Caenorhabditis elegans: one gene and its partner. The protein of the gene in region 1 interacts with the protein of each later gene in a pairwise test. Each region holds a gene or a part of one and is shown in the gene's direction. Other genes may lie near its edges.

Region 1 (4,322 bases):
TCCGTACGTTTTTATTTTTCATAACTTAATACATAGACTTTTTCCTGAAAACATCACAAAAAATAATTTCAAAAACCCAACAACAAAAACCTGTGTATAGTTTTGTCTTCGATAGAAATTTATCAATCTTCAGAATCTTGCTGATGTCGCGACCCGAAAAAGGCGAAGTGACCAAACAACCACCACTAGTGAATGCGGCAAGTTTGGTGGGCTCCAACTATGCAACAGCGGCGAAGGTAACAACTATACAATCAAATTTGTTTGTCAAACAAGGCGTTGAATATTCAGGCGGCTAACGAGTATCGCAACAAGGCCAAAGGAAAGAACAATGATTTGATGAGCTTAAGAGGGAAGCCAAGCTCACAAGCTGTTTTGAATAACACATTCGATATGAGGATGAGGAATAATGATAGTACGGTGGAGAATGTTAGTAGACAGTGGTTTCTTAAAAACTACAAGTATTGATTTTTCAGAGACTGAAGCCGTATTTATGTGCTCAAAATAATAACGCGCCAACGGTGGCGTTTAGGAAAACCAAACGACAAAAAAGCAAATCGGTTGATGATGTGGTTTTTATGAACTTACTGAATCAAGTGAGGTTCATTGCAGAGCACTTCCGACATAATGAACTGGAAGGGGAGGTGAGAATTGCGCTGTACTTAAACTCTGTTTTGTAACAAAACATACCATGTGTTCAAAAATCAATTAGAAAACATTTAAAAGTTATGAGTGATAGAAACAATGAAATACAAATTTCAGGTCAAGCATATTTGCTATATGTCCAGGTTTAAGGAGAAATAACGAAGTAACGTTTTTCTAAAAGCGATAAAAGCACACGACAGCCGTTCAAATTTAAATACAAATTTTCAAAACTTTTTTTTGCTGTAGACTTTAGTTATTTGTTAGTTTGATCGTAAAATACTAAAACATCTATTTCCAAGGTTCGCACTTTCTGTTTCCGGAAAATGCGGACCTGTGGCGTCATGGAAACATTACTGCGAATCAAAATTAGATAAGAATTTTTATTGCAGATTTCGGATGATTGGACATTTGTCGCAATGGTCTTGGATCGGCTATTCCTTATCATTTTCTCAGTGCTCAATGTAGGAACAGTCTTTATAATTTTGGAGTCACCGTCTCTATACGACTATTCTAAACCGATGAACATCACTGTGCCCAACAAGCCGTTAGGACAAGCTAATTTTTACAGTTCATGGAACTTGAAGTGATCAAAACTTATTGAATATGTTTTACCAACTGATAATACGGTTTTTGTTTTACAATTATAAATTTAGCTTAACCTTTTTTCCAAATAACAATACATATACATTTTATTAAACAGAATTATACAGAATGGAAGAGAAATGAATTATTTTTTCATATTATTTTAGAAAAAAACAAGAAACAAGTTAGAAAAACAACGATGATACGGATGTTTTAAACAAAAGTATTTCTAGGAGGGTCTGCTTCAATAAAATCAAAGTGCTAAAAGTACCCCATCTAAAAATATATTTCTTGCCGCTTCGATAGATCTAGTTGGCCAAACAGGAAATTTGAGCAAAATTTAGTTTTTTTTTTCTAATTTCAACAACATCATCCTCATCAACTAAAGAAAAAAGAACAATATTAGATGTCTCAAATCAAACAAAAAAAGTGACTTGGGCAATACATACAATGAATCCAGAAAGTAGCAATAGGGCAAGGAAAAAACGGTGCGTCAAGGAAGAATAGTGATGGGAGGGAAGAATGGAGACTCGATGGTTGTAGTGAACATGCCAGGAAAACCGGACTGTGCAGAAGGCGTTGGGGCGAGGAAAAAGAGGGAGAGAAAAGCAATGCAAAAAACAAAGGATATGGGTCGGAGAAAAAACTAAATAATAATAGTACAAATCGCAGTAGATACGACCTCGGAGACAAGTATAAAAGCGGCGGGTGCCGGCGTCCAAGGCATCCAGAACTACAATGTTCACTACTTCCCAACTCATCTGCTCTTCTTTGCTTATTGCATCGCTCATGGCGAGCCCCATCAGCCATTCTAGGTGAGCACTTTTTTTTTCAATTTTCAATTTTATTCTTAGAAAAAAACAATCCGTGTATCAAAAAAAAATATTCCAGCCATGAAAATGCGTCCGGCAAATACGGATATGGGGATGAGTCCCAACATGGAAAGAACTTCCACCAGAAGGCAGAACATTCCGGGCATGAAGCGAAGGAAAAGGGCTACTCTCAAGATGGAAAAGCCGCTGACCACGACGCGCTTCACAAGGACGCTGCCGAGCACAAGCAAAACAAAGAGGCTCACCAATCTGGATCCGGTAACAAGTACGTCGATGATGCCTCGAACTACAACAAGGATGTGAAGACCAAGACTTTCGGATTCTTCGACTACCGTTACGTTCAACCACAATACCACATGGAGCAGTACCATACCGATGAGAAGCACGCCAACAAGTATGCCGGAGATGAGCACAACGCCGGGCAACAGCACAAGGACAACGGAGGATACCACGCCGACGGACACCAAGGATACGGTAAGACTATATCTTTCACAAACACTTGAGCATGGTTTTGTATTCAGACAAGGCACAAGAAAAGCACGGAGCTTCCCACACCAACTACGGAAACGAGGACGCCGGACACAAATCCAAGTACGACGACAACGAGGGCAAATACGGAGACCACACCGATGGATACTACAACAAGGGATACGACAACTACGGACAAGGACACGACTCCGAAAGCTACCAGCCATCTTACTACCAACCGAAGCCAAAGTACTACGGAGGACACCAATCCCACTACCAACCATCCGCCAGACACTCAAGCCCATACCAAGGTGACCAATACTACGGATACGAGGCCCCACACTACTGAGCACCAGCCTGGAGCAGTTTTTGAACTTTTCTAATTTCGTTTTCTTTTAAGATTTTGATATGATTGCACACTGTGCTCTATCACCGTCTTGAAAATTTTTCAATTTCTTGTCTTTTCATCTTTTCGGGAATAAAATTGTAGTGGAAATCAAAAAAAACGGTTTTCTGAATTGCATTATAAAACATGAGAATTAAAACACAAAGTTCTCAAAAAAAAAATGTTAAAACCAGTTTCAATAATAATGAGTGTACCGAAATAATTAGAAAAAGTAGTTAAACGTATGTGGTAAAAAGAACAAATGTTCGAATAAAAACGCGAACAAATTTTATCAGCTATCTTTTTTAAGTTTGATTGAAACAATTTTCAGTTTTCATAAACTTACAATTTCTTTTTTTTACAGTGGCTTCTGTAATTATTTTTAAAATTTGATCTGCTCAGAGCATTTCTATTAACCCCTGTAGACCTGATGAGCACCAACATGGCCTAATATAAATTTCTTGGCTCCCACGTGACTAAACACTGGTGTTATAATAAATTAAAACATATCATTATGATACGGTTGTCTGAAATAACGTGGGAGGCGGGATTCCGTGGTTGACCTAGTTGCCTGAATTGTTAAGTACAAAAGTAAAACTAGTACCTCACAAGGTACGGTGTGGCAAAATCTGGAATTATTCTTTTAAAAAATTCCCCTTTGTCGTAAAGTTTTATATTTTTCGAAATTTAAACCAAATACTTCAAACATTCTAAAACATTTTTAGACATCTAGAAAACAAAAGACCAGCTATACATTTTTTCTAAGTTAAACAACAGATGAAATATATACAAATGACATTTTTATAATTATCAATTTTATTCAAATAAATGGTCTTACTTTCTCCATAACTCAATTTCCAGAAATGTTCCTGTTCCAGAAACATTAACATAGACTTCAATTATTTTCCCCCAAATATTTCATTGTAGGGGCCTTCCAGAATAAAAAGGAACTAAAGCCATCTGCTAAATTTTGTCAAATTTTTCTCACATTTCATAAAGTTCGAAAGTAAACATTAGTTTATCCAAGCAGTTCTGCAAATAACTTTTCAATCAGAGAAACTGTCAAAAGTTATGGAGTTTAATAAGAAGCTCTCAATTTTTGCTCTTTTGGTAGGACTATATAAAAGACTGACGTTTCTGAAAAGTTTCCGACCTCAATACATTTAATAAACACGAATCAGAGAATCTTCGAATTCTATTAAACCAAATAGTTCGTTTTGCAATTTAGTAAAATTTGATGTTCAATTATGTAGTTTGCTTCTCCCAACTATTTTAATAACCAATTAATTGATTTCAACATATCAAATCAAGCCAAGTCTAAGTTGAAACAATTTTTTAAAACATTTATTATGTACGGGCTGGGTGGCTTAAACATATAATTTCTACATTTGGAATACTCTTATCAAATCCCT
Region 2 (5,652 bases), on another chromosome or scaffold:
TTTCATATTGAAACTCCTCGAAAACCTCTCAAAAAACCAGTTAAGACGGCTCAAAAAATGGACTAAATTTAGTTAAAATTTGAAATTTGACTTGTCAGCGGCTGGTAACTAATTTTTTTGAAATCACCGTCAAATTTTGAGTATACAATGTAATTATCTTGCGTTTTCAACTCGATTTAGGTATTTTAAAGTCGATGAACGGCGAAATTATCTCTTCGTCCATCGACTTTAAAGTACTTAAATCAAGTTGAAAAAGCAAGATAATTACATTTTATACTCAAAATTTGACGGTAATTTCAAAAAAAAAATTAGTTTCCAGCCGCTGACAAGTCAAATTTCAAATTTTAACTACATTTAGTCCATTTTTTGAGCCGCCATAACTTTTTTTGAGAAGTTTTCAAGAAGTTTCATTATGAAATTCGGTGTTTTGAGACAATTTCAAGTCTAATAAAACAATAAAAATTTTGAATACACCACCTTTAATTCTTGAATTTTGCACAAAAAAAGCAGCGTCGCACAGAAATAGAGGCGGAGCGCGCTCTAATGATTAATCAGCTTTGAGGAGAGCGTGATTGAGCTCATTTTGAGTCCGAACCGTTAGTCCTCCTTTAAAGAGAGAGAGAGTACTGTAGTTTTCGCTACGAGATATTTTGCGCGTCAAATATGCTGCGCAATACGCATTCTCAGAATTTTGTGATCCCGAAATATTCTGTGTTCTATCAGAAAACTACCTCTGAATCTCTTTTCTCTTCTCCTCACGACGCTTCTCCTCTTCGGCCCGCTTTTCACGATCACGTTCTCGTTGACGCTCCTTCTCACGTTCTTTTTCTTTTTGCCTGGAATTTTTGAAATTTTCAATTTTTAATTATTTCTTATTCCTTCGCTCGGCACTTACAGTTCTTTCTCATGCTCTTCCTTCTCTTTTCTTCGTTTCTCTTCATGCTCCTTTGCTGCTGCTGTTGCTTCCAGCTCTTTTCTCTTATCCTCCTCCTTTTTACTAGTCTCTCCTTGCTTGTTCGAAGCGTTTTGTAGGCGATCGAACAGATCAAAAAGCCAGTCGACGAATTTCGCAGTGCTTTTTCCGATAAATAAGTTGAGATCGTCCTTCATCTGCACTTTTTCCTTCTTATTCGCAATCATTACCATAATATAATCGGGTAATTCATCGTCCACGTAGACGCCGAGCTCTTCAAGTTTGGCTCGAATCGCGGCCTGAATTAAAAAATTATTAATTTTTGCGATTTTTGAAATTTATTAACTTATTTAACGTTACCTTTAGTTTTTTCGACACTTCTGAGGTTCCTGTCCCTGTTTGAGTATTCATTTCGAACAGATTATATCTGAAAACCAAAAAAAAATCAATAAGCTAAATATCACAATTTTTGTTCCAATTTTTAAGATAATAATGTCATAGTAAGCTTTAAAAACTGATTTCAAAGTTATATTGGCTCAAGAAACTTCCGGAAGTTCACTAAAAATCACTAAAACCACAAATAATCTGGTTTTTCGAAAATATTCAAATAACGGGATAAAAACCGACACTTTGAATAAATCAGCGGCAATTTTTGTGTGAAAATTGACAGAAAATCAATAATTTAAAATAATTCAATAAATTAATTAGAAAAATTCAGGGAAAACGAATCGGAATTATACGAAAATCACGTGTATCCCTTTCTCTCTCACAATGCCAGCAGCGACAATTATTTGTCGTAAGATTCGGTGTAAAGTATGCACACACTGTGACGACAAAATGCAGATTTTTGCATAAAAGGTTTTTGTGTTTTTTAATCGATTTGCAGAGGATTTCTCAGGTTTTCTGTGTTAAAATTGAAGATTTTAAGGGTTTTTTGTCGAAAAATGCCTATTTTGTTCAATTAATCATTATAAATAACTAGAAATTAAGAAAATCGCTGGAATTTATGATTTTTCTTTATTTTTACGGACGCTTCATTTTTTTTTAAGTTTTAATCGATTTTCAGAGGATTTCAGGGTTTTTTGCCGGAAAAATGTGTATTTGGTTTATTTAATCACCAAAAATAACTGAAAATAGATTGAAATTTATGATTTCTTGTTTTTATCGATTTTCAGAGAGTTTCTTAGGTTTTCGAGCTTAAAATTTCAGATTTTCGGATTTTTTTTGCCGAAAAAATGCATATTTTGTTCATTTAATCACCAAAAACAACTAGAAATTGAGAGAATTTAATGAAATTTAATATTTAGATTTTTTTTCATTTTCAATCGATTTTTGAAGCACTTTCACAGTTTTACCAGCAATTTCCATCCTTGAAATAATTTTTTTCCAAATATTTCTAGACTGATTTCGTGGAAAACTATCGATTTTCTGTGGCTGCGTGCATTTCTGTCTGCGTCTCCCCTCGTTTTTCCTCCTCAAATCCGTTCTTGTCCACGAATTTCCGGTTTTTTTTTCCAGCTAGAGACATGCGACATTCGTCGTACGAACATGTTCCAAATCGGATAATTCCTCCGCATATTCCAATGTGAGCCGTTTTTTTTTCAAATTTTTTCCAACTTCTCGGTGTCGCAGCGGTTAGAACTTAATTATTATTTTTTTTATCACTTTTAAATAAATATTGTGGTCTTTGATTGGGCGTTTATTCATTGATTAGTACATTTATGGTCAGTGGGGCACAAATAAAAGTTAAATTTTGTGCCCCACTGACCATAAATGTACTTAAATCAACGAATAAACGCCTAATCAAAGACCACAATATTTATTAAAAAGTGATAAAAAAATAATAATTAAGTTCTAACCGCTGCAACACCGAGAAGTTGGAAAAAATTTGAGATTTTAGCTAAAAATTGGCCATTTTTTCCAAAATTTTCGAGCGGTCATAACTTTTTTTTTGAAATATTTTCAGAACGTCTCATTACGAAATTCGGTAGTTTTGGACCATTTTGGGTCTAAAAAGCAAAGTCTCAAATTTCGGTACCTCACCTCTGAGGATGAAAAAATCCGGATTTTCCGGGAAAAAAAAATAAAACTCATTTTTTTATATTTTTTCAGTGATGCTAGACGTGGCGATTTCGATAGACGTCCTGGCCCGCCGGTTCCTTCTATGAGAGCTGCAATTCTTGGAGGAAGTGATCCGTATCACGGATTTCAGCCGGTGGTGGACACCTATAATGGACCCGTAGTGGATAATTCGAGAAGACGTGGTTTCGATAAGGGGCCGTTTGGAGAGGATTTGACGACGATGGGAAGAAATGAAGGGAGACAGCCGTTGCTCAGACATGTAAGGAGCGCGATTTTGAGTCGAAAAGTTCAAAAAATCCAACTTAAAAACTCAATTTTCGCTGAAATTCCCTCCAAAACTCCCCGACCAATCAGCGATTCGCTCCGCCCATCTTTGAACCAATCAGATGGAGTGGGCGGAGTTCGAAGTCGGGGAATCCTCATTTTGAGAATTGACTTCAAAACGAGAATTCCCCGACCAATCAACGACTTCGAACTCCGCCCACTCAATCTGATTGGTTGAAGGATGGGCGGAGCGAATCGCTGATTGGTTGCGATGTGGTTTTTCTGGTTTTTAGACTTTTTTTTCGGATTTTGATGAAAATTCACGAATTAAATAGTTTCAGCCGAGACTAGACTTTGAGCACATTGGCGGAGAAATGGAAATCGCGAGAAGTCGGTCTGCATCTCCAGAAATTCAAGTTATCAGTGGTACGTTTTTAGACTGGACCCAAAATGGCCCGAAACTGCCGAAAATTTCTCAAAAAAGTGATGGCGATTCAAAAATTCGGAAAAGTAATAATAATTGTTTATTTGCCACAAGAAATAGCTACACCGGAAGACAAAGAAAAAAAGTAAAATAAAAAAGATGTGTGGACAGATAAATAAAATGACCAATTGGACCAGCTATAGCCCGGGAGGTCAAGTTGGGGGGAAGAGGGTGTCAAATGGGATAGAGCCTAGGCGCGACGCAAATGCATTTGGAGTTAACAGTTTAGGGAAACGTTTTGCTATTCGGTTCCACAACGACAAGTTAACATGTAGAAAACATTTAGACGGGACGCCACAGACAACAAGTAGATAGGGGTGACGAGTAGAGCGTGAAGCTCGAACGAACGATGATAAGGACGGGAAGTGATACTCGCTTGAAATAATTTTATGGAAGGTTCGGAGGATTTGAAGAACCCGTCTATGGTGGGTAGACAATAAATTAAATTGGGAAAGCCTGCTACTGTATGACGCGTACGATAAATTACACCTTTGAAAGACACACTTTGAGAAGCAATGGACGGACAAGACGATAATAAAGCCCGGTGGCCGTTTACCTATGCGTTAGCAACGGGAGCAGCCGAATCAACAGAGATAGGAAGTGGACGCGGTGACGAGAGAGTCACAATCTTAAGGTCGCGCACATAATAACGAATCTCGCCAGCTTGGGTATTTCTGTTATAAGCGTCAGCTCTCAACTCTCTCAGGATAGATAACATCGTTGGTCATATCGCGTCTGCAGCGGATGGGTCTTGGAAGGTTAGTGGGGCGATCAGGCAACGAACGGAGAGTTTTGGAGAAAGAGAAAATGAACGAATTGCGGTCGGCTTCAGAAGAGAAACGAATTTTTGTTGGGCGGGATAAGACTGGTTTGCGAGTTTTGACGCGGAAAGTTTGAATATGTACAGGGAGGGAGGGATTAGCGGCAATTAAATTATCGAGAAAAACCTTATCCTTGGCGGATTGTGAATCCGAGCCATCATCCGGTAGATTTTCAATCACGGCGAAATGAGTCTTCTTCTCAAACAGGGAAATGCTGGCTGCTGCTTCACGTCTTTCTGCAATGATCTCTGCTTTCTTCTCGGCTGATTGTCCCTTGAGAACATCGGCGAACAGGCGTGGAGCGGGCAAATTGGAGGTAACACGGGCAGAGCATTCGTTCGTGAGCTTGGCAACAACTACCTTGAGCTGCTCGACGGTTTGGAAGAGTTCCGATTGTTTGCTCTCCAGGGCACGACATCTGCTTTCAGCGGCGGTACGGAAGGTTCTCAAGCTCGAATTTTCCTTTTCCAATTCTTCAACACGGGTAGTGAGCAATTCAAGAGCGGTCGGGCGACCGCGCTTCCGGGTTTGCTGTTGTTTCTCCGGCGGAGAACTCGTACCGTGAGCGTCCTCCGGGAGATAAGGACCAGAGAAAGCGAAGAAATCCGTCTTCACCATAGGCACTGGGGCGGAATGAGGAGGAGGTGGTTCCGACATGACCAATGACCTGCAGCAGTTGACCGGCGTACCTCAAACTCAAACTTGGGTAATTAAACCAAATATTTTTTGCAGATGCTAAAACAATTTCCAAGTCAAAAAATTATGTATTCAGTCGGCAAGCAGCGGTGAAAGTGGTCAATGTAAAATGATGGATTACGGGAATACAAAACCTAAACTTTTTCTGAAACATTATACATATGCTGTTTAGATGCTGAAACTACCTGATTTTCATAACGAGACCGCTGAAAAAGTTTTGAGGTTTCCACAATTCAACTTTTTTGGTGAAAAAGTCGAGATTTTCGCACAAAAAGTTGAATTTTGAAAACCTCAAAACTTTTTCAGCGGTCTCGTTATGAAAATCAGGTAATTTCAGCATCTAAGCATCATATGTATCATGTTTCAGAAAAAGTTTAGGTTTTGTATTCCCG

Evidence for each region. Proteins that work in one complex are often made in the same cells at the same time.
Region 2: the proteins of R01E6.5 (region 1) and Y61A9LA.3 interact in a two-hybrid assay, tested with the Caenorhabditis elegans proteins (one large-scale study listed by BioGRID).

The regions. Positions count from the first base shown.
Region 1 is NC_003284.9:13,535,084-13,539,405, forward strand, and holds R01E6.5 (Histidine-rich glycoprotein-like), read left to right. Parts: upstream 1-1,975; 5' UTR 1,976-2,013; coding exon 2,014-2,039; intron 2,040-2,115; coding exon 2,116-2,531; intron 2,532-2,578; coding exon 2,579-2,874; 3' UTR 2,875-3,026; downstream 3,027-4,322. Other genes in the region: acr-12 (AcetylCholine Receptor), read left to right, coding at 134-236, 289-426, 474-641, 1,032-1,229.
Region 2 is NC_003283.11:4,568,704-4,574,355, forward strand, and holds the start of Y61A9LA.3 (C2H2-type domain-containing protein), read left to right. Parts: upstream 1-2,431; 5' UTR 2,432-2,439; coding exon 2,440-2,498; intron 2,499-3,025; coding exon 3,026-3,254; intron 3,255-3,594; coding exon 3,595-3,685; intron 3,686-4,429; coding exon of another isoform or gene 4,430-5,221; intron 5,222-5,652. Other genes in the region: sut-2 (Zinc finger CCCH domain-containing protein 14), read right to left, coding at 732-836, 896-1,212, 1,274-1,324; hpo-39 (uncharacterized protein), read right to left, coding at 4,430-5,221.